Linked DNA regions of Drosophila melanogaster. Changing the gene in region 4 together with the main gene of any one other region gives a genetic interaction. Each region holds a gene or a part of one and is shown on either strand. Other genes may lie near its edges.

Region 1 (9,819 bases), about 18 Mb from region 4:
TGCCAATACATCACAATACTTTCTTCTGTATATATCTTGAACACTTCCTGCTTTCATCATGTGGCTGACATATTTTTCGTGAAAATTGTATTCGTATTCGCCAATGCGAAAAAATGCTACCCACGCGATGATTTCTGTTTTGGTTGAAAGCAATATGAGTTGGAAGCGCATTTCAGCCGTCACTTGTCCATCCCGCGATTGGGACTTCTTGACGGCCACATGTCCAGGGATTTGTGTTTGTGGGACAAAGAACGAATGCAGCCTAAGTTTTTTCCGCATGGAAAGTTTACGGTAGTGACATGGCCAATGCCAACTTTAAACTGCACAACGTGATCTTATTTATTGCCCATATCGACCGATTTTTGTCAGCTGCCATGACTTTGTCTAAATATCTTTAAAGTCTTTGACGACATGGAAAGGCAACAGGTGAAACTCGTGATTTAAGTACAATACTTACCATTTTTTTTTTTTTTTTGAGCACATTCACAACTCCAGAAGGCAGAATTTCTTTGGTGACAGTTCCATTTTTCATCTGCCAGTAGGAATTAGTTCATTTTGATGTTAATGCAACGTGAGAAGGTGACACCCTCTTGTGATGGGCAATTAAATGCTTCGGTAGCAATAATAAATGTCGTTTTATTGCCACATTTATGCGATGCACACGCGGCGACACTAACAAGGCAAAGAAATATCAAAAACAAAGGCCGGGCGAGAAATTCACATGTTTATTTGTTCTAGTTGAATGAACGTGTAACAACTTGCAGTTAGTATGCTATTGGCCCGAGCGCAGCTAGTTGACTGAGTAAACAAACAGAGTTGGCAGCAAGTAAACAAATGGCCCAGAGCAACAGGTAATTTCCGTACAGCATCCTCCAGGCGCATGTGCGGAAATTGCGTTAGAATGGGCCGATAAATAGCTATCTGAAATTCAAATAGCAAGCTTTAACTAGGTGCATTTTCTTATAACTAAAATAATCTAGTTGGATGCACTTTAAAACGAACAAACCAAACAAATAATATCTTTTCAAATTTAAAGTTAAAATTTAAAAAACCGTTAGAGCGCTGCCATATTGTCAAAAAGGATAAACGAATGGCAGCCTTGCACCATCGGTAGCGCCATCTAGCGTGCATCGGTAGATACCGCCACCGAATATTTAAATATTATATATAAATATATTTGTAGCTTAATAAATATTATTTTAGCATCTAGAATCCTTAGTATTTATATCAGAATCAGTTCATCCGAGAAATACCTATCACCGCATGTTCCATCTATCAATTTCTGCTTTCACTTAAAAGTTGCCTGGCGTGTGAATTCCTACTAATAGATAGCTCGAAAATAATAATAAGTCAAAATGTCGATGATATTCAACACGGAGTATGGCTACCTGGAGGCCCTAACGCGCGGATTCAAGAACGGCATGCTAAAGCACTCGGACTATCTAAATCTGACCCAGTGTGAATCCCTCGAGGACGTAATGATCAGCATCCAGGGCACGGATTACGGTCTCATCTTTGGTGGCGAACAATCAGCGCCGTCCGTTGAGGTGATCGAAAGATGCCTTAGGGATCGTCTGCTGCAGCAATACTACTACATACGCAGTCATTCGACGGAGCCGCTGACCACCTTTATGGAGTTCATACGATATCCGTTCATGATCGATAATGTGGCGCTTCTGGTCGCTGGCCTAAACAATCACCGATCCATGAAGCGTCTGCTAAGAATGTGTCATCCGCTGGGCGAATTCGATCAACTGGGCGCCATCGAAGTGGCCTCGAATTCTGCGGAGCTCTTCGACGCCGTTCTAATTGACACGCCCATCGCTCGGTTTGTGCCACGCGATTTGCCCATGGAGTCGTTGCGTTACCTCGACGTGGAGATTGTGCGTGCCCATCTGTATCGTGCTTATTTGGAGAAATTCTACGCCTATTGCAGCCAACTGGGCGGCAATACCGCCAACGTGATGACCAATCTATTGTCCTTCGAGGCGGATCGTCGGACCATTACAATAGCTGTGAACGCTATTGGCAGTGATATCATGTAAGATATCTGTGTTGCTATGAAATTCTTCATATTATACTCATAATGCCCACCTTCCAACACTCAGACCGAAGGAGCGTCTAAAGATGTTCCCCACCTGTGGCTACCTGCCCAAAATAGCCTTGGCCTCCATGTCCACTTTAAATGATACGGATAAAATAAGGGATGTTTGCAATGTGTTCGATGGCTATGGCAAAATGTTTGACAATTTGGAGCGCGACTCGGACGGCATGATTACGCTGGAGGACCGCTTTCTCATGATGGAGGCCAAGAAGAATGTGCAGACCTTCCTGCAGCAGTACCATTTCGGGATCTTCTACTCGTTCATTAAACTTAAACAGTTGGAGGTACGCAATATCGTCTGGATTAGCGAATGCATAGCGCAGCGACAGACGGACAGAATCAACGCCTTCATTCCCATACCCTTGGACTAGAAACGCTTTTGCTTTCCTTCTTCGAAATGTTTTCCCTTTGAAATGTGTGTTATAATATATAGGCGTTGTTATAAATAAAACACATGCATAACAATTTCGCATTAATTTTGGCGCCAAATTTGTTTCGTTTGCGTCCCGGCTAACCACCCATCAACTGGGGTGTGTGTATTTGCTAACCAATCGATATGGACGATGCCGACAAAAATTATCGATATCAATCGACTTAAGGCCATGGATGCCCGACGCACCGATGTTTTTTGCACATCACTAACAACGATGTTGGCAAATGAAACGAACAAGCTGCTGCTTTCCTCGCAGCAGGAAAAACCAAATCACTACACGTAAATAGATGCTAACTAATGCAAACGATGGTTAATTTGACGTGCAACCTTTCCGCCAACCGTTTCAGCTACCTGAAGGAGTTCCGCGTGGAGCAGTGCCAGTCGTTTTTACAGCACAAGTGCAACCAGCATCGCCCCTTCGTCTGTTTCAATTGGCATTTTCAAAACCAGCGTCGGCGTCGTCCAGTGCGAAAACGCGATGGCACCTTCAACTACAGTGCGGATAACTATTGCACCAAATACGACGAGACCACTGGGATTTGTCCCGAGGGCGACGAGTGAGTAGAAATGTTGTGAAATTCATAGTTTCTGATGGCCCGTGAAAACGCTGGACGGGACGATTGCAGTGGCGGAGGATGGATGAGACAGCAATAGCGAACGACGTTGTATTTTTTTTGTTTCCTCTTTGCGCTCTCCTTCCTTCGCGATGTGTGTGTATCTCTTGTCTTCGTGTTTACAAACAAAAACCATAGTGTGTTTGTGTGCAGGGGGGTGTGGTGGGGGCGGTGGCAGGGGCCTGGCGTTGTCTGGAAAGCCAAAAGTGAAATTGTAAGTGCGTATGTGGGCGTGCTGCTTGCTGTATCTCTGTGCATGTGTATGTGTGTGCAGGCGAGGTCACCACCGTGCAAAAGTGAAAGTGATTCCAGCTCTAGTGGGCTAGCAAATTCTTATCAGCATCCGTTTTGTGGTGGTTGTTGCTCTCTTGTCGCATGTATACATGCACAGACGCTCGCATACACACAGGTACGCACAAACAAACACACGCACAGACGTAGGGCATCGCTACAAGTGTGTGCGTCATTGTTTTTATTGCGTTTCGCTTTTGCGTGTTTTCTTCTTCGTTTATTTTGATTTTCCCCCGGCAGCTTCGAAATGTACAGTTATTGTGGCTGGCGAGCTTTGGAGAAAAGCTCTGTGAAGTGTAAGAACGGGCTAAAAGTAAAACGCAATTACGCTTTGCGAGAGACAACAACAATGTCTGTTTTTATGACCCAGACTCGAGGTCCAACCTCTGACCCCGACCTCCATTCTATCCATTTATCGTTGTAGTCTCCTTACAGGGTACGAAGGTGGAAAGAAAGCGGTTTTAGTTTTGAAAGAGAAATTTCTTTTACTTATTAAAGAAATACCCTCAAACATGTATTAAAATGATGATTTTGCTGTAAATGTACAACTTTGTTGTTTTTTGTTACGGTTCTTTTTAATTAATGGGTATCATACAGTCCATTCACTTAGCCTCGTCGCCTGCTTTGACGTCACTAAAACTCCCTTTCTCCCCATTTAGATGCCCCTACTTACACCGCACTGCTGGCGACACCGAAAGGCGATACCATCTGCGCTACTACAAGACATGCATGTGCGTCCACGACACCGACAGCCGAGGATACTGCGTCAAGAATGGACTACACTGCGCCTTCGCCCACGGCATGCAGGACCAGCGCCCACCGGTTTATGACATCAAAGAGCTGGAGACCCTGCAGAACGCAGAGAGCACACTGGACAGCACTAATGCTTTGAATGCCCTGGACAAGGAGCGCAATTTGATGAACGAGGATCCCAAGTGGCAGGACACCAACTACGTGCTGGCCAATTACAAGACAGAGCCCTGCAAGCGCCCACCGCGCCTGTGCCGCCAAGGATACGCTTGTCCACAGTACCACAATAGCAAGGACAAACGTCGCTCGCCCAGAAAATACAAGTACAGGTAAGATTTCCCCTGAATTCATCCTAAAGTCAGTTTTAAACCGCGATATACCATTGTTTTAGGTCCACTCCTTGCCCCAATGTCAAGCACGGCGAGGAATGGGGAGAACCGGGCAACTGCGAGGCCGGCGATAACTGCCAGTACTGCCACACACGCACCGAGCAGCAGTTCCACCCGGAGATCTACAAGTCGACCAAGTGCAACGATGTCCAGCAGGCCGGATACTGTCCGCGCAGCGTCTTCTGCGCCTTTGCCCATGTGGAACGTAAGTATAGAGGATTCGATGAGCTAATATATAGGACTCAGCGTTGTGCTCCACAACCAGTTGTTGTAGGGATGTGTTTAGGGCCAAGTTATGATATTACAGTTCTAACTTAATGTTTGTCTTTTACTCGCCTCATCCATCAAACCGCAAATCTGTTTCCAACTATCACTCAAATCCTTTGAAAACACGTACATCAATCAATGTTTGCTTTGCCGCTCGGTGTTGCTTGTCCATGTAACTACTCCCAATCCAAATAAAGCATGTTCAATTGACGAGAAGACGCGGGATCACACGGTATACCTAAACGAGCTTATTTCCAATGCCTATCCTGATTTAAAAGCTCAGGATGCGTTTCAAAGGGTCGATAATGTACGTATTACCGAAGCAATAACACTCATCCAAATAACGCCATCGATTTGCATCGCCTAAACCTAAACGTACTACCACACATCGTTTGCCGCTCTAATCCAGCTAACCATCATCAACTAACTGCTTAACACTTTCGATAAGCCATTTAATCATGTGTCCTGCTCTCCTCGATTTTTTTCTTTTCGTTTTGTTCTCTTAGTTGTTGAACATTGATGGTAATAGCACCAATAAAATGTTGGTAGACGCTTTGGAAAACACAACAAATTTCAGCAAATTTTTAAGTTTCTCACGACCCCTGGACAGTCGTTGTGAGTATCCCAGAGTCCTGACATGCGTACGTCTAAGTTATACACTAGAAATCAGTTCTTCGTTTTGGTTGTGGACAAAGAATGTCAGCGCTTAGATAGCAAATGTCGTGACCCCTAGCCTAACTGAAATTCAATAATTTTTTGTCTTCACTCTTTGCAAGCAGCTTGCTCAATGGACGATCCGCGCGAGAACTCATTGTCGGCGAGTCTGGCCAATACTAGCTTATTAACACGTTCCTCGGCGCCAATTAACATTCCTAATACGACTCTAAGTAACTCAATTAACGGTAAGTAGTCATCAACGTCCTATGAGTGCCAACTAATTGCTAATGCTAATACTCCATTCCATTTGCACAGATTTTAACTCAGGTAGCTTTGCCGTCAACATTCCCAGCAGCTCGCTCACCTACAGTCCCACCAACCATGCCAATCTCTTCAACGTGGACGCCTTCAACTATGGCGGCTCAAACAAACTCAGCAATTCCCTTTCGGCCACCCAGAACGATAGCAGTCTCTTCTTTCCGTCGCGCATCATATCGCCTGGCTTTGGCGATGGCTTGTCGATTAGTCCTTCGGTAAGGATATCCGAATTGAATACCATACGCGACGACATCAACAGCAGCTCGGTGGGAAATAGTCTGTTCGAGAACACTCTCAATACGGCCAAGAATGCGTTTAGCCTTCAATCTCTGCAGTCGCAAAACAACAGCGACTTGGGTCGCATCACCAATGAGCTGCTCACGAAGAATGCTCAAATTCACAAGTTGAACGGACGTTTCGAGGACATGGCATGCAAGCTAAAGATCGCGGAGCTCCATCGGGACAAGGCCAAGCAGGAGGCGCAGGAGTGGAAGGAGCGCTATGACCTAGCACAGATACAGCTAAATTTGCCAGCAGAGCTTCGGGACTTGTCCATACAGAAATTGAAGCAATTGCAGGTTAGTCGCTTAATTAATTTCCCAATTCCATGGGTTTTAACCTGCTACCATTTTAGTCCAAGCTGCGCACCGACTTGGAGGAGGTCGACAAAGTATTATATTTAGAAAATGCCAAGAAGTGCATGAAGTGCGAGGAGAACAATCGCACGGTTACTCTGGAGCCGTGCAACCACCTGTCTATTTGCAATACATGCGCTGAATCGGTCACCGAGTGTCCCTACTGTCAGGTGCCGGTAATAACCACCCACACCTAGAACATGTTTTATCAGCAACAGGACCACAAGTGGCCCTTTGGCTGAAAATCGGATAGGGATGGGAAAGGGGATTCCGATGGGATATGAATGGATCATGGGGATCAAGACCGCGAACAGCATGACAATGTGGTACTCACAAAGCAAACTTTAGTCTTAAGCAAAACGTTGAAACTTTTGAACAGTTAGGATTTGACACATGCCTACTAATTGTGCATGTGGCAGGGAATATATAATTTATGTTTTCAATCTACTCAAAATATGCAAATTATCGTCATGAATATTAGTAATTACTAGGCACAAACTATTAATTGAATTAGCTAGCTGCTCTAAACGAATAAGTATGTAATTTTATTTTTGTTTATTTTTTCTCATATCGAATCGAATACAGGAAAAAACATTTTAAATTGATTTTGTACTATGATTTATGTAACCAACTCTTTTAATTTTGTTTAATATTCAATGTTTAGGCATACATATTTTCTAATCTACTGCACGAATTTGCAATGTCTCATTTATTTTTTTTTTAACCACATATGTATCTCTATATTTGTATTTAAATATGCTACACTTTCAGTCATATTGTACTTTTCACTAGTATTACATAAGAAATTATGAGAACTAAACAATTACAAGATGTAATTGAATGAAAGATATATAAATATATAATATATTAATTTTTCTAGACACTTTTAGCAATTGACTATTAACAAATTTATAGAAACCAACAAATTTAACAATATATTGTCGCATAGAAGAGCAGAAAACAACCACAAACAAACAAATACCACCAGTGATTTTATATAAGCCGATTTTCAAACTGTATTTTTTATGTATGTGTTTCAAACTTGTGAATGCAAACTACAACTAAAAGCCAAGACAATGGTCATAAAATCAATGTAACTGACGGGTAATCAATATTAGTCAGTACTCAGCTTTTATTTTCCTTTTTCAAATGCACAAAAGTAATTATAGACGTTGAAACGAGAAGTAACTAAAGGCGACAACGCTTTTCCTTATCGAAAGTTCATTTCATTTTGTCTTATTGAAAACCAAGTTGAATGTATTAAAACACTTTGATTTTTGTTTAGGCCTTGGTGCAGCTCGTGTAAGCCAATGCCAATTAACCAGTCACAAAATTATCAACTTACGTATATAATCTATTAGGTTACTTTGTGATTTGAATAGTGCTTTAAGTACTTACTTTGCAGATGACTTCAATTTTCATTTTACTTTCATAGTCTCAACTGGACGCTTCCAAATTAGTAAAAGCATAAAATGAATCGTCAATGTCAAAACGTAGTATTTAAGTCATATTAAATCCAGCATTTGGCTGATTGTACAAGAACGAATATGAACAGATATATATTTATGGGAAATTTGAACGCAGATTCGATGAGTGTGATGTTGAAAGCATAAACAATAAAAGTAACTCGATACAGCGAAATGAACAGAGTTTAATGAAAATGTTAACCAGAGTTAATGTAAAACCGTCTTCAAAAACCATTGTATTTTTCTGCGAATTAAAATTATCAAACGTAATCAATTGGACAATGTTGAATGAAACTGAAACGTGTTGTTAGCTAGTTGAGTTGAATTGATAAAGATGTAATCAAAATGAAACTGTTCTGGGAATGAATTGAATATGAATATGAAATCAACATAGGCATTTATTTGAAACAAAAGCAACACTATGAATATATATATACAAATGAAAAACTGAATTATATTATTACAAAGCTAACTAGGAAAGGCAGCGCAAAGGCTCTTATCTCTGTGTGTGTTTGTACTATGTTTTGTAGAAGCCAAATCAGCAAGAAATACAAATAATTAATAAATATAACAATAAACAATTGTGTGTTAACTTATAAATGCTTTAATAGTTTATGATACAAGTGTACACAAAAAAACTAAAAATCACGAGAACAAACAATGAGAAAATTGGTTTTATAATGGAGCTGTTGAGTCGCAAATCTATTGTGTGTATTACCAAACTAAACTGAAAACTGAATGCATACCTCTCTCAGAATATCACTGACTCTCATCACCGGAGACACAGTTTGAAAGATTTGCTAATTTACTTTATGAATCTCCACGAGATGTACATGGGATGTCTATCGAACTACGCGTTTTTTCAACCCCATTCCAAAACAAACCAATGCAAAGCAATTTTACAACATGTCAAGAAATCCATTTCACGCCATCTCAACTGTGAAGAATCAAACAGAAACCAGATCGAAAAGTATATGTACGTTACATACATATATATTTATAGATGACACATGTATTTTGTATACGCTACTGTAAGAGTGATTTTTATGTGATTTTGAAACTACTTGAATATGTGATCCAGAAATATATAAAAAACAAAAAAAGAACAAAAAAAAAAACGCAAAATAATATTTATATATATAAACGCAAGCTAGCGACAGCAAACAGCAATATAACAAATCAAATTGTAAACCAACTTGACTTTATGTACAACAACAACAATGACGACAAAAAATATAAAATATGTTGTACAGCTCCAGCTCCATTTAGAAAACAAAAGGCAAGAGAAGTAGGATTTTGGTAGTGGAAGAGATATGGACACACGTAGCATACTTAACAAATTGTCAAAAACAAAAAACAAAAAAACACGTAGACCAGAACAACATCAAAATCTTAAGGATACAAAAAAGAACAAGTAAATAAATGTCTAAATTATCAAATTGAATTATTAGCTAGCTTATAGGGTTCTCAGTTAAAAATTTACCAGAGGAAATACAAACGAGTAACAAAAGCAAAGGCAATTACTTCTCTAGATCTAGAACTAAGAACAAATGTTTGCTACCAATTGTTTCAACTAGTTAATTCATAATAAATTAACAAATTGTAGAAAACTGTAACTGAAGGTTTAACAAGCATAGCGTAAAAAAAAAAACAAAACATGACAACTCTGAACACCGAACAGGAATTTTAAATATGAAATCGCGGAGACCGAGCAATTTGCAACCGAAAGTACTGTCTAGTATTTTAAACTTGTCTACAACAATTATGAATATGAATGGATTTATGCAGTTTTGTGCGAACCAAGCCCACACAGACACACACAATAAGTGAAAACTCGACGAACTAAGTGGAATCAATTTAAATAATTTGTTTTTTTTTTTTATCTAGAATACTAC
Region 2 (6,252 bases), on a different chromosome or scaffold from region 4:
ATGCGCCTAGGCCTATTATTTTATGCAATTGATAAATTGACAACGAGGTCCGCTCACTTTTGTGTTTTTCCATTTTTTCCATTTTATGTTCGCAGTGAAAATCCGCTCACATGCGTGCCAAGTTTCTTGCCCCGCCGACTGCCACGCTGTCAGAACCGCTGCCGGTCCCACTTTCGGCCCCGCCGATTATGAAAACAGCTCAAAATTGTGGAAAGTTATACTAACTAAACAGAAAAAAAGAGCATAGCATCCCAGCCTGCCATTATAACGACTTAATCGAGCGGAAATAAAGTTCTTAAGCATCATAAACAGAATTTAATTGGCAGTTGGCAGACGAAAAACGAAACGCGAAACGCATTTCGAGGGGGTTGCAGAAATTGTCAAATGGCATTTTGCACACTGCATATATGTATGTATTGTACATACTATATGTGGCATGTATGTATATAAAATGGCATAATGCCTGGCAACTTTCATATCGAGTGAAACTGTTTGTCATTCAATTTCAATGTCAAGGTTGTTGCCGCTTTATTTTTAATGCATTTATTGCCTTTCAATTAGCCGCAGTCGCATCCTTGTCGAAATTAGCCGCCTCTGCTGAATTTGCTTAGGCAAATTAGCTGATAACTATGTTGCTTTCGGTGAAATTCAGTGAGCTGTAGCGTAAAAAAAAAAAAACAAACAATTCGAAGGCGACGCACTTGCCGATAATAAATTCAATTCGTACTATAAATACCATTGCATTTGACAAATTGACTGCGATATTCAAATTTGTCTTGCGAAAGAATGGGCCGAAGTTTCTGTCAAGGCTGAATCAGATAGGCATAAATCATTTAACCCCAAACAGACTGGTCATATCGAACATGAAAATGGGCGTTTTCCTTTTATTTTATCGGCAATTTTAGATCGCGCGGATTTGTTAGGTATTTTGTTGTTTTTTTTGTTTTTTTTGCTGCCTATGCGGCGTATGAGTGATGCTGAATTTAGGTCTCACCTCAGCCACTTCCTCGGGGAATTGCAGCGTCAGTTGCAATGTTTTGTTCACTTGAACATAAATCGAAAGCTGACATTTGCCTCGATTTGGTCACGCCAACAGCATCATCATCGCCATCAGACGAACGGCCTCAAATGTCGCGCATTTTGGCGTGATTTCGAGTCACTAACCTTGGCCTTAGAACGCGCTGCTGCAATCGCTTGGTTAGCCGACGCTGCAGATGCATATGCATGCAACGATCGTCTAACGGCAGTTAGCCATTATTCTCGACTACTCCACAGCTGTTAGCAGGCGACCTAGGCGCCCAACCCAGTCATCGCTGGCATTGCAAAACTAAAAATAAACAGCCAGACCGAAAACAATATGTGCAGTAATACGACTAACCGTTGGATCCGTCCCCGTCTGGTTGTCTGTGCGATTAATTGCACATTGATTACAGACAATTGCAGTGGGTAGAGTGAGAAAAACGGAAATGAAAACCAGATATACTGCTAAAAACGCGGCCAAATCGCGCGTGAATCGCTTCAAAACCGCAATGTAAACGCCAGCGGCAAGGCGGAAGCAAAAATGTAGAGATTACCGATTTTAAGTGTAAATTTTGCAATTTTATTTTCAGGACCAGGCTTCGTAGTTGGGTGAGTTCAATAAATACTTACAGGCTAGGCAAACATGTGTAACACAATCTTTAGTTAGCAACTAATACAACTTATCGAACAGGAGGCGGAGGCGGAGGCGGAGAAGTAGGCGGGGACGTTGCAGCGGCAGTGACAGTTGCCCGCCTGCTAGGCAAACGAGCGACAGCCGCTGCCATAGGAATAAATACTACAACTTCAGCTGCCTCTTCTCCTGCTTCCGATCGCGCTGCAAAAGGAACTCGCGCCTCAGATCGCTGGATCGCATCTCTAGTATGCAGTTCAGCTTGTTGTGGATCTGCTCCGCCGTGTGGGTGTCCGTATCGAAGTCGTAGTGCTTAAAGCGAATATTGCTGCTTGAAAAGAGTCCGGAAGAGTGACCCGGACTGCTGGGCGAGTGGGCAATCCCACCACTGCCGCTTCCCGCATTCAGTGTGGTTACGCTGGCGTTGATCGGCGCCGAAGTGCAGCCCGTGGAGAAGGAAGGGGACGAGGAGTTTGACTTCAGCCAGATGCGCAACAGAGCCTTCAGGTGGCGTCGCTCCAAAATCTCGCAGTGAGCAACAAAGTCAATGGGAGTGGATACGGGCTTCTTCTGCGGCCAGAACTTGGCATTCTTGCACTGATCGATCTCTATTCTCTCACCAGATATTCCCAGAGTCACATCGGATTTGAAGAACCTCTTGTCGATGATGTTGAGGCGGAAAGTACGATGCATGGGTGCTTCCAGCATATCGTTGTGATTCAACAATCGCTTCTCATACTCCTTGACATTATCGTGTGGACTATCGCCTCCTCCACCTCCTCCACCCGGATCACTAGTTCCTCCATTTAGGCTAATATTTTGCAGAGCCTTGACAGCCGCATCGGACAGAGCTGTCTTGTCTTCCACGGAAGTCATGGATTTACTGCCCAGCTGGCTGTGGTAATCAACTCGCGTCACTGGAGCCAATGGCCGACGCTCTGCGAGGGTCAGTTGGGAGAAGCCAAACTTAGAGCAGGGTTCGCGATTGTCCAACGGTGGGAAGTCTTCCATATCATCATTATCCTCTGTCATATACAAAGCGTAATGCTGCAGGGACTTCAAAGGAACGTCGGGATATTGTAAGGAGGTCCTGTAGCAGACAAAACCAATTACCTCCTGGATTTTGGCAGTGGCTACGACGCAGATCTTCAACGGGTAGTTGCGATCCGGCTCGGGAAGCATATTTAAAAACACGTTTATCCGTTTCGTTTGCATACCCACTTGGGAGGTGCCATCGAAGCGGGCGAATTCAATGAAGCGATTCTGTGCTTGCTTTGGACTTTTGGCCAACTGTTCAGTGAGCTGGCTCTGAACACCCTCATCTGACAGATCATCGTCGTTGGCTTTCGGTTCATTTTTAACTCGCTCAGCTTTGCTGAGGGGCAACTCTTTGCGTTTAAAGAAATCATCGCTCTCCGGTGGCTGCACTTCCTCCTGGTAGTTAACACTCTTGATGCGCGCCGCCCTTCGCTTGGCAATATCCAGTTTCTCTAGTTTTTGGGCAGTGTTGGAGCGAAAGCGGTGGGCGCCCACCTCCGGATACATTTGGATGTCAAAGGAGTGCGTGGACATGTCCTCCTCGTCGTCGCTGAGGTCCAGTCCCGGATAGCAGATGAAGTCCACTTCCTGGAGTGGCGCATCCGGATGCCGGGTGTTCCGCTCCGGTGTTGTCCCGCCCCCCGTCGGCGGTGTCTTGTGCGCCCGTCGCCAATGATAGTGATCTCCTCCAGCGCCCGAGTTACCGAATTTTCGCAAATAGTGTTTGGGCATGTCATCGCTCAGCATCACCGTCTCGCACATTCCGGTGTCGTCCGTGGATATGAAGGAGTTGCGGATGTGGGAGAGCAGCCAATGCTGGTTGGAGTAGGTCGCCATGGTAGTAAACAAAAGAAAATCTCTTTTTCAAAATTAATTTCTATTTATCTCAGCATCTCGGAAAAATGCACTAACGCCTTTGGATTATCTAGAGATGGAACATTGCGGTTGTTACTGGTCACTTTTTGGTGGTGGTAACGAATAGCACGCACAAGTCACCGTTCCCAACAGAACATAAGAGGAATACCTACTACATGAATATACTTAAATTATGCAATTAAGATAAAGGTTATACCAAGTACTTATTATCAAAGTAATATTTTGAATTTACATGCAAGTCTAGTTGTAGCGGTACTCGTTAAATCTGGTCTTTTTTCATTCAACGCAAACGGTCACTCTAGGCCACCATATGACTTTTTTCTGGACGCGAAAAATTGCCGAGTTACAGAATAAGTTAATTATAGTGAGTTTATCGTCGCCTGACCTGCCGTTTTTCGATGTCCACTTCTTGAGAACTCCCAATCGGATAGAGTCGATGTGCTAGCCAACGGCGAAATGGCGGGCATGGAGGTAGAATTCGACGAGACGGTGGCCAATCAGTTCAGCTGCAAGCGCTGCGACCGAGTAAGTGTGTGGGAAATGTCTCCTATTACCTCAATCTAACCACTATCCATTGATGCAGACCTTCAGAAGCAAGCGGGATCAGACGTTGCATCGACAAGAGGTGCACAACCACAACAAGACCACCTACGAGTGCAAGCTGTGCGCGAAGAGCTTCTGCAATTCGGGGAACCTGGATCGTCACATGAAGGTGCACAACGATGTGCGGCCTTTCGTGTGTAACATTTGCTCGAAGGCCTTCGCCCAGGCTGTGAACCTGCAGCGCCACTATGCGGTGCACAGCGGGGAGCGGCCATTCACCTGTAACTTCTGCAACAAGTCCTTCACCCAGCAGAGCAACATGAAGCGCCACAAGATGACACACACTGGCGAGAAGCCGTTCCGCTGCCAGCGATGCGGCAGGTACTTCTCCCAGCTGGTTAACCTCAAGAAACACAAGCTTGGCCACCTCAACGCCAAGCCCTACCAGTGTAATTACTGCGAGAAGGGCTTCACCCAGCTGTCAAACTTTAAGCGCCACTTGCAGTCGCACATAAAGGAGGGCGTCGATGTGGACGTGCCCGCCTCTATCCAGGCGGCTGCCGCCCTGGCCAGGGAACGGCTTGAGTCGGAGCAGAAACCGTGAGTACTTGCCGGCTGTAGAAGATCAAGGTGCCCTTTGATTAGTTCAACCTGTTCAGACCTACCTTAAGTTGCCTATTCGACACCGATTATCGACGGGTCATGATTAGATTCGGTGCTGATTAGTGTGCTTAACTGTGCTCATTTCCCTTTTATGAACAATTAATACTATATGCATTTTTGAAGGTGTACACGTTCCCAATCAATACTTTTATATATTAATTGACTAGCCTCAAAACTATCCTTGATCCTTCTACATTTGCTTGTTGTGAATTTTATTATTGAATTAAAACATTTCATTTTCAGAAGCTTTTTCGAATGCATGGTGTGTCGGGCCATCTTTGATACCTTCGCTGACTATGAGAAGCACGAAGCCAAGTGCCATGAGGACCACGAAAGGGCCCAGCTGGAGGTTAACCAGATGTCCCACATGCATCCAGACGACTATTTGCCCATGAAGTTTGCCGTGCCCGATCTGGATACGCACGAAATCATAATTGAGACTACACATTAGAAATGGCAATAATTTTAAATGAAATACCACGAAAACACACAACCCAACTCACACCTAAACATACAAATAGCGGCGATTCCGACGGAAAGATGGAATGTGAAGAATATTGCATTGAATATACAGATATGAATATATATGCAGGCCAACATAGTTCTCCATTGAATTACACCAATAAATGCAATAAATATGCAGATAACCAATGCGAATCCTTCGCTATCCCTGTTGCTAATCGATCCGATCTCTGTTGACATTGTTGCGTGAATCAGGCTAACCCGTCGATTTACGGACCCTAAAGACGTTTTAACTGCACCCTTTATGATGTGCCATTTTATGAGCATATGTATGATATTCGCTGGATTTTCCCGAGTCACATCATCAATTCTCTCGTTCGCAAGTCCCAAAACCTCACAGTGCGTAAATTGTCGCTTTAATGACACATTTCGCACAGCCGTAAAACTGTCCCTTTTCCAGCTTGTCAGGCCAACATTCTTGCGTCATTAATGTGACAAATATGTTTGCCCAAATAGTCACGTTACCACTCACTGTTGTTCGTTAAGTTCGAAGAAGAAAGGTAAAGGAATCGCCCGATGGGTCTATAATTTATACATGTGATTTCTCGACTATTTGATTGAAACTAATTAAAGGCACGTTCCTGACTTGTTTACCCGCCAGCAGTCATGGAGCAATAATTGATCGCACAGTCCTTGCTATCAGCATCCACCGCTCGCTCTGACCATGTCCTTGTGGCCTTCGCAGTCATCGTTTTTGCGGCACTAAATCAAACTATTTATACATCTGACTCCCCGGACTACTCACACTTCCGCTCGCACAGGGAAATAATATTTCATGTCCACATCGTCGTCCTGCCACATTTTCTGGCTGTGCATGTGTGCGCCTGGTTCAATTGGCATGCGGCTGCTTAAATGGTCACTGCTTGGGGCCTCGGACTAATAGGTTCACATTTATTAAGCTGCCCAATGTCATTTGTTATAAATTTATTATGGTAAATGTCCTGCTCCTGATCTCAGCT
Region 3 (8,382 bases), about 19 Mb from region 4:
CAATTTGTTGCAATAGGTCAACAAATCGTTTATAAGAAAATTGCAAATGACTTTGTTGGGCAAATCACTTAAACTACGGGTAATGCTCAAGAAATGATCCAGCAGAATAGGTTCGTTCTGAAATAAAATCGAGGAGTGTTGCAATTTCAAATTTTTTGTTGACTCAAAAAGGATCAGAGCACGCACCACTAAAATGATGGCAGTTTCCGCATTCAGGTTGTGCTGCTCCACCAAACGTTGCCTGGTGTCCTCTGGTAATTCTGGAATTTCCTCGCTTAGAGCAGCCACTGAAAGTAAATCCTCTGTTGACATTGATCCAGGCTTTAGGTTTACATGAAGGGGTGGTAGATTCGGCTCCGGCATGAATCTGTAGTCCTGCAGCACCTCTTTGTCACGCATGGCCACTGTGCGCCGGTTCTCCGCATCCCAGTTGCGAGTCTCATTTGTAATTACACCGCCATTAGCCACAGTTTCTAGCTGTCTATTAATTTCATACGTAATTGCTTGCGAAATGCTTCGAACCGAGCCAATGTTTTTTACTTCGGTGCGGACTCCCAAGGGATCGCCTTCTTGGTGAATGGATATGTTGGCATCCACACGCAGGGCGCCCTCTACAATAAAAAATACTCGGTTTAAAAAAAGGCACACAAATCCCTTTTGACTCACCTTCCATTTTACAACTGCATGTCTGCAGACGCCTTAGTATCAGTATTAATTCCTTGACCAGCGATGCCGCTTCTTCGCCCGTTTCTAAATCTGGTGCAAAAACCAGCTCCATTAGAGGAAGTCCAGCACGATTAAGGTCAACCAGGCTCCTTTTGAGATAATCATCGTGCAGAGATTTACCACTATCCTGTTCCAATTGCAACTGCAGTAGTTTGGCGGTCTTGTAGTAAACTTTTTTGCCTGGTGTTATCACGGGGAAAGTCATTTTTCCATCATTGGCCAAAGCGGCGCGCTGCTGCGTGATTTGGTAGCCATTCTGGGGAGGAGAAGTTTATTACTTATAAGGCTTAGCGTGGTGTAAACTGAAATTTGAATCTTACAGGCAAATCTGCATAGAAGTAGTGCTTGCGGTCAAACATGGACACTTCGTTCACCCGACATCCCAAAGCAAGTGATGTCTTAATGCCGGATTCCACACATTTTCTGTTGAGAACCTAAAAGCAGAGGATACAATGTAATGATGGCGTCTTAAGTGAGAGTACCTATTCTCACTGGCAATGTTCCCGGTATGGAGGCATCAAAATACGCCACCGAAGAGTTAAGTGGTGCTCCAAAGGATGTGCCACTGCCGGAAAACAGTTTGGACGCACTGGCAATCTGTGCGTGCACCTCCAAACCCACAACGCTTTTCCATTTCCTGAAATTCAGAGCGTTGGAATGAATCCTTATAATATTAATTCACATAATTACCTTTTGGGAACGTTGGCTAGCTTTGGCGCCGTTACCAGTTTTCGGATTATTGAGTAATGCATTATTTTACATCGATTATAACATTCGCACCGGAATTGGCAAAAAGTTGCGCCAAAACAGCTGATGTTGTTTTGATTGCGGCCAAAGCTGCCGGACATTCGCCAGCGGCGTTGCCAGACAAAACCATCGATTGGCTGGCGATAACAGCGCAAGAGGAATATCACAAAAAAATAACCTTTTCATTTTCAAGACAAACATGTAAAAAAATATGAGTTTAGCAGAGGTAAGCATTTTAAATGTGCACTCCACAACCGAAACAATAGTGCAGTGCATCGAACGCAGTGGGAATTTCAATGCCAACCCTTGTTCTCCAGTTCACAGCGACCAAGACGAGAAAAAGCACACGCAGCTCTGCAAAAGACAACCACGACGACGAGTGAGTGGAGTAGAAGGACCAGGAGCGGAGTAGCAGGAGCAGGAACAGTCGACCGAGGGCGGGCGGAAAAATCAATCATAGCGACAGGAAACCAATAAAGCCGCCGTCATGGTGATTGAGAAGATCATTGGTGACCTGGAGTCCAACATGACGCTGGAGAACGAGGAGGCCAAGCGCAAGCTTGTGGAGTTGCTATCCCAGAGTGAGTCCTCGCCAGTTTCAGTTAATATGCCACCTATTCCAACATACCATTTCCCCACAGACAAGGAGCAGTGGGTGGTAAAGTTCATGCTGGACTACTTCTTTACAACTGGATCTCAGCGCATTTTGGAGGTACTGGTCAAAGCCCAGGCACCTCACGATGGGTACATCTTTGACAAGCTGGACGACTGCCTAAAGCAGTCGCAGCACCGAGTGCAGAGCCTCCAGGTGTTCTGCTTCATTGTGCGCCATCACCCTACTTGGCTGTACAAGATCGAGAAACACCGGCTGATCAAAAGTGTTTTTAAGCTTATGACGGTGAGTTTATGGGTGTTTACAATTTTGTCCGAGTTCAGCATCACTTCCATTTCTCTGACAGCACGAGAAGGAGATAGTTCCGCTGATGAGCGCCCTGTTGTGCATAATTACTCTGCTGCCGATCATACCGAATTCTGTGCCCAACTTTCTTAACGATCTGTTTGAGGTGTTCGGGCATTTGGCCTCGTGGAAGCTGCAGAATAGCAATAAACTGCCGGACGAGAAGCTCGTCCACCTGCAGTTGGGTCTACAGATGCTATTTCACCGCCTGTACGGCATGTATCCGTGCAGCTTTATTGCCTATTTAGTGGAGTTCATCAAGCGAGGCAACGGCGGGGGCATCTTCCAGCATACAATCAAGCCGCTGTTGAACACTGTGCGAGTGCATCCCATGCTGGTGACGGCCACGCCAGAGACTGAGGTAAACAATACGCGATGGAAGGAGATGGAGCCGCATGACGTGGTTATGGAGTGCGCCAACCTATCGCTGCCCGTCCTCTTGCCCGAGACGAGCAACGAAGACGGCAGCTATGCGTATCCCATGACGCCAGGATACAGTCGCATGACTTCAAATACCTCGAATACGGACTACAGCTATCAGCTGAGGGAGTTTCAGCAATCGAGAAATGTCTACACCCGCTTCGATTCGTTTGCCTCGGGTGATGATGTGGGTCCGATCTGGAGTCCGCATAACGAGATTGCCACGACCAGTAGCGGCATACCGCTTACACCCACCACATCGTTTATTTTGCCACTACAACCGGCTATGAACTCTCAGCTTATGGTTGGCATGACTGGCTCCTCACCGCCCGAAGCAGCTGTGGAGGCCACACCGGAAACCACCCCCTTAAAGGATATGAGGGATATCAAGCAGCCGGGACGTGCGGTCAATTCGCATGCTGTGAGAGCTATCTTCGCCGTAAGCCAGCCTTCTTCACCCATGCGCAAGGACCAGCAGAGTCAGTTCAGTTTCCCGGATGTCTCTCGCGAGGCGGAGGAGAGCAGCCACTCATATCTGGAGGTCAACAGAGGAACTGCCTATGACCGTCGCCTGTCGCAGGTCATCCAGGACAGGCATAACGTGGAGCGATCTGTAAACACACCTTGTCCAAGCAGCCTGCCAGAAATTAACTCCGATTTATCCCTTGTTGGTGGTTCCGTCTATCCATCTGTCACGCAGGAGGTCGCTGCAGTTTGTGGCGAGTGCAACGAGACGGATAGGAACCTCTGCAGTGTGGGTGGACTTCATATGCCCACCAGCCGATCCATGCACCAGCTGGCAAAGAAGCGCCGCAATCGTATGGCAAGCTACAGTGGAAATGGTTCCTGTGCGGACAGCAGAAGTTCGGCGGCAAAGAAGGCAAGTTGGAGTACTGAGGCAGAGAACCCAATGCGACGAACCAAATCCTGCTCGGCCCTTTCCGGAATGCGGCAGCAGCATCTGGAGGAGAATGATGACGAGGCCGATTGTTCGAGCCAAAGACAAAGAGGGGAGAATGGAAATACGCAAAAGACTGGCAGCCGCCTGCAGAGGAGCGGCCGGAACCTGGCCATTTCGGCGCCCAAGGATACGGCTAGAAGCTGCACCCATGCCTCCACCCAGACGGTGGAAGGACTGGACAGTGCTCCAGCGCAGTACGAGAATTGGCTTATTGAACTCCTGCTGGAGTGCAAGGAGCAAAGAATCGACTATGAAAGGAACCTTCTGTACCCGCAAGATATTCTAGACGAATACATTAAGCATGCGATCAAGGCCAATGAGTCCTTTGACGCCGAGCAGGGTCAACTGATGTGCCTACAGCTGGAATACGAAAGCTACCGTCGATCCATTCACGCAGAGCGCAATCGACGACTCATGGGGCGAAGCAGGGACAAGCGCAGCCTGGAAATGGAGCGGGATCGGTTAAGGGAGCAGCTTAAGAACTTCGATGCGAAGAACAAGGATCTGGCAAACAAAATGGATCAGGCCATTCGGTTGGCCAACGAGCGCCAGAACATCCACCAGGAGGAGCTGGGCGAAATGAGGGCTAAGTACCAGCACGAACTGGAGGAAAAGAAGTGCCTGCGGCAGGCAAACGATGACCTGCAGACGCGACTCACCAGCGAGTTGGCGCGCCACAAGGAGATGAACTATGAACTGGAGTCTCTGCGAGGTCAGGTCTTCAGTTTGGGAACCGAGCTTCAACACACCCAGCAGCAGGCGGACATTGGGCTGCAGTGCAAGCAGGAGCTGGCACGACTGGAGGCCGAGTTTATTATCATGGGTGAGGTGCAAGTGCGTTGCCGCGACCGTCTGGCTGAGATCGATAACTTCAGGGCCCGCGACGAGGAACTGCAGATGCTACAAGAGAGCAGCAACCTGGAACTGAAGGGTGCCTATTCATTGTTTATATGATACGGATGTTTAATCATTCAGTTTATTTATTAAGATCTGAGGCACAGCCTGGACGAGAAGACATCACAGCTGGAAAGCATGAAGCACAAGATCAGCGACCTGCAGGCCCAGCTAGCCAACAGCGAGAAGGCCATGACGGAGCAAAAGCGACTTCTAAGCACCGTCAAGGATGAGTACGAAGAAAAGTTTAAGGTAGGGCTGATATTTAAAATCGTATACTTATCTGAAATAGTTCGGACTTTTAAGAAATAGTCTGTGTTTACCAGTAACTTCATTTCAATTAAGAGTAATAAGCCTTAAAAATCGTCGTCCTTGCAGTCCGTGAACAAGAAGTATGACGTGCAAAAGAAGATAATTATGCAGATGGAGGAGAAGCTGATGATGATGATGCAGCAGCCGCAAGGAACAACAGGTCATAACACCTGTTCCCCGGACACGGACAGAACTGGTGAGTGCAAGAGCTGCTTCGCAGCTAAAGAATACTTACTATTGCATTCTCCCACAGACATAGCTTCATCCATTGAACGCAACTCACCGCTATCCACGTCGCTGGCCTCGAGCGAGAGCTTATCCGCCAGCCTACGCTCCACGGAGCTGAAGAACCTGCACCAGCTAGTGGACACGCCCACTATTCCGGATGTGCTGAACAGCATGGCCGGTGGCGCTCAGTTCGAGGACGAAGTGCGTCCGCCGGCCGTGGATCTGGCCTCCTCGGCAAGCACCGCCAGTGCCATCAACATCGTGCCGCACGCCTTGGACTTGCCGTCGACCTCCGGCGGCATCGGTCACACGCTCACCCACCCACATCCGCATCCGCACCTGCACCTGCAGCAACAGCAACAGGATCAACTGCAGTAGTAGCAGCAGACGCAGTTTGTAAAAACAAATAAGAACTAGCTTTCCTTCGCTAAACAAATGTCTATTGGGAAAACCCGCACAGAAAATTTACAAAAAAAAGTTATTGGTTCTTCATATTTTCATATTCAGTTCAAAACTGTAACTAAGGTTTAATAAATCGCTGACTCCACGCAATAATTATAAAGGTTATAAAAAATATTAATGTTTGAAATTTTAACTTGTTTAGCACATTGCAATTTGTTGTAAAAAAGTGGTTTTGATACGAGGCAATAAGTAAGACGCGCATTCATATTATAATAAACATTTGATTAAGATCAGCAAACATAAAAGCATTGTTTTATTTTATTTAATTGTAAACATACTATTTGTTATATAACAACCGCCAAACATTTAAATTTTAGCTAAGAGAGCAAACAAAAACGTAAACAAACCGAGCGACATTGCCAGCTGAAAGAAAGTGAGAAGTGTGGCAACCTTAAACGAAACAGCTGAGCGGAAGCAACAATAATATAGAAAGAAGAAGCAGAAAAGAAACGCCTATTAAATCAGATCATTTAAATACGAAAACTTAATAATACATTAAAATGCTATCCCAATACATGGAGGAGTTTGAACAGGTGGGCTCAAAGGTCACGTAGGCCCGATTATGGCTTATATTTATTAATCATAACCAACAGGAACCCTTTGAGGTGGGCGAGTTCATAGAGCGTCTGACTTGGCGCACCAACAATGAACTCCAGAACAGCGAGGACTTTCATCCTGTGGCCCTCCACGATACCTTCATCCAGACCATTAAGGACCTAAAGATCCTGCAGGAGAAGCAACAAAGCAAGTGCGAACGGCTAGAGGAGTCACTGCGCCAGGAGAAGGAGTCGCACGCCAAAAAGATTGCCAAGCTCCAAGAACGCCACCAAACGGCCATTGATGTGTTCGGCCAGCTGGACGAAAAAATCAATTCGGTGGCCGGCAAGATCATGCACCTGGGCGAACAGTTGGAGAATGTGAACACTCCACGCAGTCGTTCAGTGGAGGCCCAGAAGTTACTCAATTTTATGTCCGAGTTTTTAGCCGCTGGCCCTGTGATTGTCAACGATATTTTTGCGGATGCCGCAAGATTAAGTGAGGCCGCAGATGTGATACAAAAGCTCTACGCTATCTCGCAGGATCTGCCGCCCGGAAACTTTGCGGAATCCAAAAGAAAAATCGAAAAGAAATACGATGAAGTCGAGCGGCGGTTGATCGAAGAGTTTGCCACCGCCCAGAAGAGCGAGGACATCGAGCGCATGAAGACACTGGCCCAGATCTTGTCCCAGTTCAAGGGTTACACTCAGTGTGTAGACGCATACATCGAGCAGAGCCAAATGCAACCGTACAGTGGCAAAGACATATTTATAGGCATTGTACCGCTATGCAAGCATCACTACGAGATAATCCAGAAGGTGTTTGCCAATCCGCAGCAGGTTATGTCCAAGTTCATACTTAACATATATCAACTGAAGCTTCACCAGTACGCCATGACTAAGTTGGAGGACAAAAAAGACGAGGAGAAATATCTTCGCACCCTTTATGAGTTATACTCGCGGTGAGTCATTCAGAAGTTACGTTAAATGTCAAAATTTGCGATTACTTTCATTTCACAACCACTTTGCAGCACACTAAAATTGTCAACAGATCTTCAAATCTACATGTCCACGATCGACGACGACTTGTTACAGAAGCTGACACAGCAGATTTTTATAAAGCATTTGGCCGGCTACGCCGAAATGGAGACCAAATGCCTCACAGCCAAGTGTTCCACAGAGCTGGAAAAGTTCTATGCCAGCAAGAAACACCAAAAGACTGCAACTACTAAGGGCTTTCGGAGAAACATGGAGGTGCTGATAGCCACGCGGGCTAACATAAATATTGCTGCCATCGAGGACTATGGCGGGGAGACGTTCCTATCCGAAGAGTTGGCCATCAACATGCTGCAGGAGGCCAAGGCGTCGCTTAAGCGCTGTCGCCTGCTGTCCAACGAGACCGAACTACCAGGCAATGCTATAAAGCTAAACGATATCCTTCTTCGTTTCTTGATGCACGAGCACGTAGATTACGCACTGGAGTTGGGACTGCAAGCAGTGCCACTGGCCGAGGGCAGGGTCTTTCCCCAGCTCTACTTCTTTGATGTGGTGCAAAAGACGAACATCATTGTCCATCTACTGGACAAGCTGTGCCACACATCTGTCATACCCTGTGTGAGGTATGTTAGGACTTTGTTAATTTACATTTTATAGAATGTATAATGTATTCTTTTCTAGTAATACACCCAAGTACTCGGACTATGTGTTCAAAAAACGTATTCTGATGGAGCAAATCGAGACAAAGCTGGACCAGGGTCTTGATCGCTCTATTAGCGCTGTTATTGGCTGGGTCAAGGTATATTTGCAATATGAACAAAAGAAAACGGACTACAAGCCGGAAACAGATGTGGATACAATATCTTCAGCGGTAAGATATAAATTTAGTAAAATCGAGCTTATCTGTCTATCCTTAAAAATGTTTATTTTTCTTTTCTAGGCCTGCTTACAAGTCGTTCAGAATCTGCAGCCCGTGATTGTGCAGATTAAAAAATGTGTTGATGGAGAGAATTTGCAGAATGTTCTTACAGAATTTGGAACTCGGTTGCACCGAGTAATCTACGATCACCTGCAGACCATGCAGTTCAACACGGCTGGCGCCATGTGTGCCATCTGCGACGTGAACGAGTATCGCAAGTGCA
Region 4 (5,657 bases):
ATTGCTTCAGTTTCAATTTTCATTTTGGTCGAATAACTAAAATTATACAGCGAACGAAGTCCAAACTAGATTTTTTCTGAATGTACTTTAGCTGCAGCATATTAAATTTGATTTAGAAACTACTGCTTCTACCGCAAGTGTGTGTGTCTGCAAACTGAGTTGTGGTAATGATTATCGGGCTGCATGACGTGTTGGAGGATGGCTACATTTCATTAGTTCAATTGCGACTGGTAGCTCGGCAGTGGGATTGGATAAGTGAGCACTTTCCCCTTTTGGCGGCGCACATCCGAGCACAAAAACCCCATCTGCTTGGCTGCACTGATCTAGATCTAGACTATCTTTTAGCATGGCTACATGCATACGTATGTATGTACACACATATATGTAAATACGCGGAAGGAGTGTGTTTAAACATACATAATGCACACAAGTGGGCTCGCAGGTACATAATGCAATTAATGCAGCCGCATTAATGCGGGGAAAATGTGCTAAGCTCATTCGCTGTACGAATTTTGTGGGTCGCTAGTTCTCTTTAATTTGAAAAATGCAGTTGCCTCACTGGCACTTGCTGTGCCAATTAAGCACTCTAACGGGACTCCCAGGCCAGCTTGATGATAAATAAAAATACTATTAATTGCGGTCAGTTAAGGTCATCAAACTAGCGAGTTGTTGGTAAGGAAAATACATAAGTATAATTTCAATTTGTTACTCCATTTAGATTGTGTCTTTAAAGCCAAGGAGTAATGTGTTTTAATTTGCAAATAAGAGCTTCAACGATATTTACAATGTAGTATGGACTGATTTTTCATTTTGTGAGTTTAATCCCCTGATAGCACAATCGGCAGGTTTCACTTGTTTTGTGGGCTTGCTGCGGCTTTTATGGGCGCTATAAAATCGCGACATATCTTATCAGCCATGGGCCCATCCCCCAGATGGGCATAGCCTGGTTCTGTAGATCCACCACCACCACCAGGGGGTATGAATATTGATACGCGTGCAACACTTATCGCCAGTCAGCTAAATGAACCTGGAAATCAAACATATCTGCACATACATATGTAAGCTTTGGTAAGTACGTCAATAACATCTATTCCGTTGCCATCTGAAAGCTCCCATCTCTAATCCTGGCCAGACATCGCCGCCAAGTGCGAGTGCCGGTTTTTGCAGAGTCCAACGACTCGCTGACGTTCGTTTGTTATTAAATCGATAAAAGGCTGTGGCCCGTAAAGGAAGCAACAAGAAAAGCCAGTACCCACCCATTCGGATTCCGATTGGGATTCCGAGTCGGAATCGATGAATGTATGTGCATTGCACCTGATTAGCGGGTTGTAAGTGCAGTTGTACAAACATGCCTATCCACATACATATGTACATACAAATGTATAGAGATTGCTTACAAATCGTGAGTGGGAAATGCCGTCACAAAAAACTCGCGGTGTTGGAGATTCGAAATAACGGTCAAACATAATGATGTACATATGTATACCATTATGCGAGAGCAATAAAATTTGAAAATAGAACAAAAAACTGAGAAAATACCCACGCATTGCGCACAAGTATACACACACAGACCCAGCCAAAGTCAGCCAAAAAAACAATTGCAATACAGAAAATAGAGAAGAAAAACAAGCTCGCTTTCTTCTGCATGGGGAACATTCACATTTAATACGAATCGCTCGCTTTGGTAAATTACCGTTAAAAGGCAAAGATCTCACACGATTTAAATGCTGAACGAGTTTAATTTTAACGCACGCACAAGTTCGCTGTTTGAAAATCGGAAAACATTTAACTCTCGGTCCGATTGGAACTCGCGTTGTGGTGGATTTGCTATTTTCGTGGTGGGTTATGGCAGCTGACAGTTAACAGCACTGTTAGTCCGCGCAACGCTCTGTTAGCCGGCATTTTAGATTTAAGATAAGTAAGACAAGAAATATTTTTATTCATAATCGGTTTAATGCGAAATAATTTCTATGTCTTTTTTCTATAATCAGTCTTTAGAAATATTAAGCCAGCCAAATCTTAATTCAATCAAATTCGTCCGACCAATTGTGACATAAGAAATAGCGGTATTAAAATTTAAAGACCCCTTTTTTTGCTAACAGATGCAGATATTGCTAGAGTGGCCAGGTGAGTCTTTCAGTTTATCCAAATAGTAATTTGGTTTGAAATTACTCTTATTAAGAACCATACCGAGATCCTCCCAGTTCTTTTACTTGCTGAACCTTGGTCTCCAGAGAATTCACAACGGTTGGGAATCTATAGAAATCATTAAGGTATTGGTCCTATTTAATCAGTTATAGGGACGAGATAAAGTAAATCCAGCTTTTTGGAATTGCAACTGGCAGGTCTTCTCGACGCACTTGTAACTTTAGTAAATCAACCTCTATATTTTTCACAATCGAAAATGTTGACCATTAAAATACAATCTTGAATAGTATTTTGAAAAATTATATTTAAATTGAAACTAAAAGTTTGCAGAATTTGTATATGAAATTTGTAACTGAATTGTTGTTGTAAAAAAAACGTACTAACTTAAACCTGTTGTGTTGCGCCAGACGCGAACCACAAAACCTGCTGGGCAGCGTTTAGCGGACGCATTCAGATCGCTTGATATTGGTTACTTGCTGTGTGGTCTTAAGAATACTAGGTCTATTAGATTTTTAGATTTTCCTGCTGCGCACAAAGGGTACGGCCCCGCCATGCACGCTGACCCAACTGTGTAGATAAGAGATAATCGATTTTCGTATTGCCATAGCGATTTGCCGTATTTCCAACAGTTCGGCCGTAGTTTTAGCTACTCAGCCGCCCTACGATACAAGACAACCGCTCTTCTCCTGGGGATTGCCGTTCTCGTTTTCGATGAGGATCAGTAGCTGATGGAATATATCTCCCACGGACTGCGAAGGAAGTACCTTAGTTGCATTCAGCTAGTGTGATTCGTCTTGGTACTTGCCTCGTTCTGTTTGGCGGACGTTTCGAGAAATGCAGCTCGCCAGGACTCGGCCAGCTTCTTGCCTTCCTCCGTGGAAACGGTTCGTTCCTGGTGGAGATCGATCTTGTTGCCGACCAACACCACAGGTACACTGAAAGGCAAAAAAGATTAGCTTAGCTCTCAAGCGGAACCCACGGGGAAGAAGCCTACTATTTCTTGCCCATTACGTCGAGCAGTTTTTCGTATATGATCTTCACCACCTCAAAAGACTTTTGGCTGGTTATCGAGTACACCAGGACGTAGCCGTGGTAATCCATGCTGTACTGCACCGGGAATATGCTGTACTCGTCCTGGCCCGCCGTGTCGATGAGCTTTACGATGTAGTCTTGCGACTTTACACGCTCGATCTTGGTGAAGGCTGCGAATGGGAATTACCGATCATTACGCATTGCTACTGCTATCGAAGCATGGAGTCAGCCTGGCTTCTAAGAAATCCGCACGGAATGGGATGTGACACTTACTGTTCTCAATGGTGGGGTCATAGGAGTCCACGAACTGGCCCTCCACGAACTGTATGCATAGCGACGATTTGCCTGCGGGCGAAGCGTAATTATTATGGTCAATTGATCATAGTTCTTGCTGTTGTCGAAATACTACGCAATTACCAGTGCCAGCAGCAACAGTGTCAGTGCTTCTGGCGGAACTTTCTGGGAAAACTCACCCACTGATCGGTAGCCCATCATGGCTATGTGGCGCTCCTTGGTTGGCATTTTCCTGGGGCCCAGTGCTTTGAAATAAATGGAGAAATTTATTGGTTTTGTGATTTTCCACACTTTTGTTTTTGCTGTCGCCCCTCGACTTTTTGTGCGCTTGTGTGGGTATGCCCGTGCTCCTTCTTTAAATGTGTGTATGAGGAATATTGCTTCTGCGTTTATTTTGCTTGCTGAGGATACTTTCTATCACAGCTAGAGCTTTTCCGGCGATTTTAATTCCAGTATTATTTATCAGATCGTCTAAAAGAAAACAGTAATTCTGAAGTTGAATCAGTGCTGGTGTCGACGAAGCCGAAATACCACTCCTAGCCTACTAACATAAGGCATTTGCCAGCTAATGAGGAACCGTCACACTACACTATCGTCTACTAGTTTAACGGTCAACAATTGCAGAAAATATCAAGGCCCGTTCGGAAAGGTGCTTGTCGTAATCAAGTGTAAAAAGTCGCAGTTATTTTCTTAAATAGTTAAAACATATTAAATGTCTTCGTTTTATGATATTAAAATAACTGTTTTATTTGTTATATATTGCAAATAGAGCCTGATTCTGTGGACATGTCTAAACAGGCCTTTAAAATAAAAATAGTGCAATCGATTGGGAACGAAATCGATATTTGTTTAGTACTCCGAGTTTTCTGCAGCACTTTCGTAAAAACTTGCTTTGATTTGATTTTTTAAAAGAGAAAACCCCACTTCAAATGGGTACAAAGCGTCGCAACATCGAGGATGAGCTCTCACGCTTCGAGGCGGAGATCTCGAAGCCCCCCGCCCGCAATCTCTTCGTGCCCAACCAGGTGCGCCCGATCATAGCCGCCAATACGTACCAAAACTCGCAGCACAAGCTGCAGCATCACCAGGGCAATGGAGGATCGCGTCTGACCGTACCCCCGCCCCCGATGCCGCCTCCACCCACGTTTATGTCCACCTTCGTGCCTACGGGCAGTGGAGGTGGTTCTTCCAAGGCTATGTCTGCCACTCCCGTAGTCCTGAGCAGCGCCCCCAAACTTTATCAGTGCCGGCAGTCTGTGCACGTGCCCACCGTGGCCGCCGCGCCCTCCATCGACATCAACGCCGTCTCTTTTGACGTAACGCAGAAGCTGAAGAAGCTCAAGGCGGAAAAGTCTGGACCCAATCCCATTGCAGAGGAGGCCATTAAGGCAGCGCGCGCATCATCGGCGCTGCAATCCTTCCAGACAACAGAGCGGAAAAAGAAAGACCGCAAGACGGTGCGTATCGCTGGCGGCACCGTGTGGGAGGATACTTCGCTGGCTGACTGGCCCGACGATGACTTCCGCATCTTTTGTGGTGACTTGGGAAACGACGTCAACGACGAGGTCCTGACCCGGACCTTCAACAAGTTCCCCTCGTTTCAGCGGGCCCGTGTGGTGCGGGACAAGCGCACGGGCAAGAGCAAGGGATTTGGCTTCGTGAGCTTCAGAGAACCGGCCGACTTTATACGGGCCATGAAGGAGATGGACGGCCGCTATGTGGGCAGCCGGCCTATCAAACTGCGCAAGAGCACGTGGCGACAACGCAGTCTTGACGTAGTTAAGAAAAAGGAGCGCGAAAAACAGGTGCTTCTGCAGGCCTTCAATTCCATGACTTGAATCTGAGTGTGCATATCGTGTCCTTTAGGCTAGTTTCGGTCACTTTGATGTAGCAAATTAGATTTGGATGTTGCTGCTAAAGATGAGCAATAAATTTACGTTTAGCAATTGACGCGCTTAGTTTTTATTAACAAACCCTACCCATCCTATTACGAGGTAAACCAGCAGCACATTTTTAAATCAGAAATTGTCTAATATGTTTAAAAACCTTAAACGGGAAAGCAACACTCACAATAATATTACGTAAAGCTTTTAGTACCATTTGGACTCCTCCTTGTCAGCGAGCAGAGGTCTCCGCACCGCATCCCCACCATCGAGATGGTGGGGACCACGACTGCCATTGTC

Evidence for each region.
Region 1: of Rheb (region 4) and unk, changing one suppresses a phenotype caused by changing the other (phenotypic suppression), as found in Drosophila melanogaster (one study listed by BioGRID).
Region 2: of Rheb (region 4) and Sin1, changing one suppresses a phenotype caused by changing the other (phenotypic suppression), as found in Drosophila melanogaster (one study listed by BioGRID).
Region 3: of Rheb (region 4) and Tsc1, changing one suppresses a phenotype caused by changing the other (phenotypic suppression), as found in Drosophila melanogaster (2 studies listed by BioGRID).

Annotation. Positions count from the first base shown.
Region 1 is NT_033777.3:23,150,776-23,160,594, reverse strand, and holds unk (unkempt), read left to right. Parts: upstream 1-2,732; 5' UTR 2,733-2,751; coding exon 2,752-2,816; intron 2,817-2,884; coding exon 2,885-3,094; intron 3,095-4,101; coding exon 4,102-4,521; intron 4,522-4,583; coding exon 4,584-4,786; intron 4,787-5,045; coding exon 5,046-5,155; intron 5,156-5,354; coding exon 5,355-5,463; intron 5,464-5,624; coding exon 5,625-5,750; intron 5,751-5,820; coding exon 5,821-6,401; intron 6,402-6,457; coding exon 6,458-6,655; 3' UTR 6,656-8,503; downstream 8,504-9,819. Other genes in the region: VhaAC39-2 (vacuolar H[+] ATPase AC39 subunit 2), read left to right, coding at 1,356-2,041, 2,109-2,475. UniProt on the Drosophila melanogaster protein: Essential for late larval/early pupal development.
Region 2 is NT_033778.4:14,409,181-14,415,432, reverse strand, and holds Sin1 (SAPK-interacting protein 1), read right to left. Parts: upstream 3,609-6,252; 5' UTR 3,527-3,608; coding exon 1,817-3,526; 3' UTR 1,582-1,816; downstream 1-1,581. Other genes in the region: CG17385 (uncharacterized protein), read left to right, coding at 4,022-4,090, 4,149-4,708, 5,015-5,222. UniProt on the Drosophila melanogaster protein: Component of the target of rapamycin complex 2 (TORC2), which transduces signals from growth factors to pathways involved in proliferation, cytoskeletal organization and anabolic output.
Region 3 is NT_033777.3:24,128,706-24,137,087, forward strand, and holds Tsc1 (Tsc1), read left to right. Parts: upstream 1-1,601; 5' UTR 1,602-1,699; intron 1,700-1,790; 5' UTR 1,791-1,960; coding exon 1,961-2,054; intron 2,055-2,114; coding exon 2,115-2,371; intron 2,372-2,432; coding exon 2,433-4,743; intron 4,744-4,800; coding exon 4,801-4,958; intron 4,959-5,084; coding exon 5,085-5,214; intron 5,215-5,271; coding exon 5,272-5,624; 3' UTR 5,625-5,949; downstream 5,950-8,382. Other genes in the region: GatB (Glutamyl-tRNA amidotransferase, subunit B), read right to left, coding at 1-117, 187-611, 667-982, 1,047-1,160, 1,219-1,363, 1,417-1,478; Sec10 (secretory 10), read left to right, coding at 6,209-6,241, 6,302-7,206, 7,276-7,863, 7,922-8,111, 8,181-8,382.
Region 4 is NT_033777.3:5,567,268-5,572,924, reverse strand, and holds Rheb (Ras homolog enriched in brain), read right to left. Parts: upstream 4,005-5,657; 5' UTR 3,886-4,004; exon of another isoform or gene 3,720-3,885; 5' UTR 3,703-3,719; coding exon 3,654-3,702; intron 3,526-3,653; coding exon 3,454-3,525; intron 3,351-3,453; coding exon 3,143-3,350; intron 3,084-3,142; coding exon 2,954-3,083; intron 2,898-2,953; coding exon 2,808-2,897; 3' UTR 2,434-2,807; downstream 1-2,433. Other genes in the region: CG2931 (uncharacterized protein), read left to right, coding at 4,404-5,312; CG12746 (uncharacterized protein), read right to left, coding at 5,565-5,657. UniProt on the Drosophila melanogaster protein: Binds GTP and exhibits intrinsic GTPase activity. Activates the protein kinase activity of TORC1, and thereby plays a role in the regulation of apoptosis. Stimulates the phosphorylation of S6K through activation of TORC1 signaling.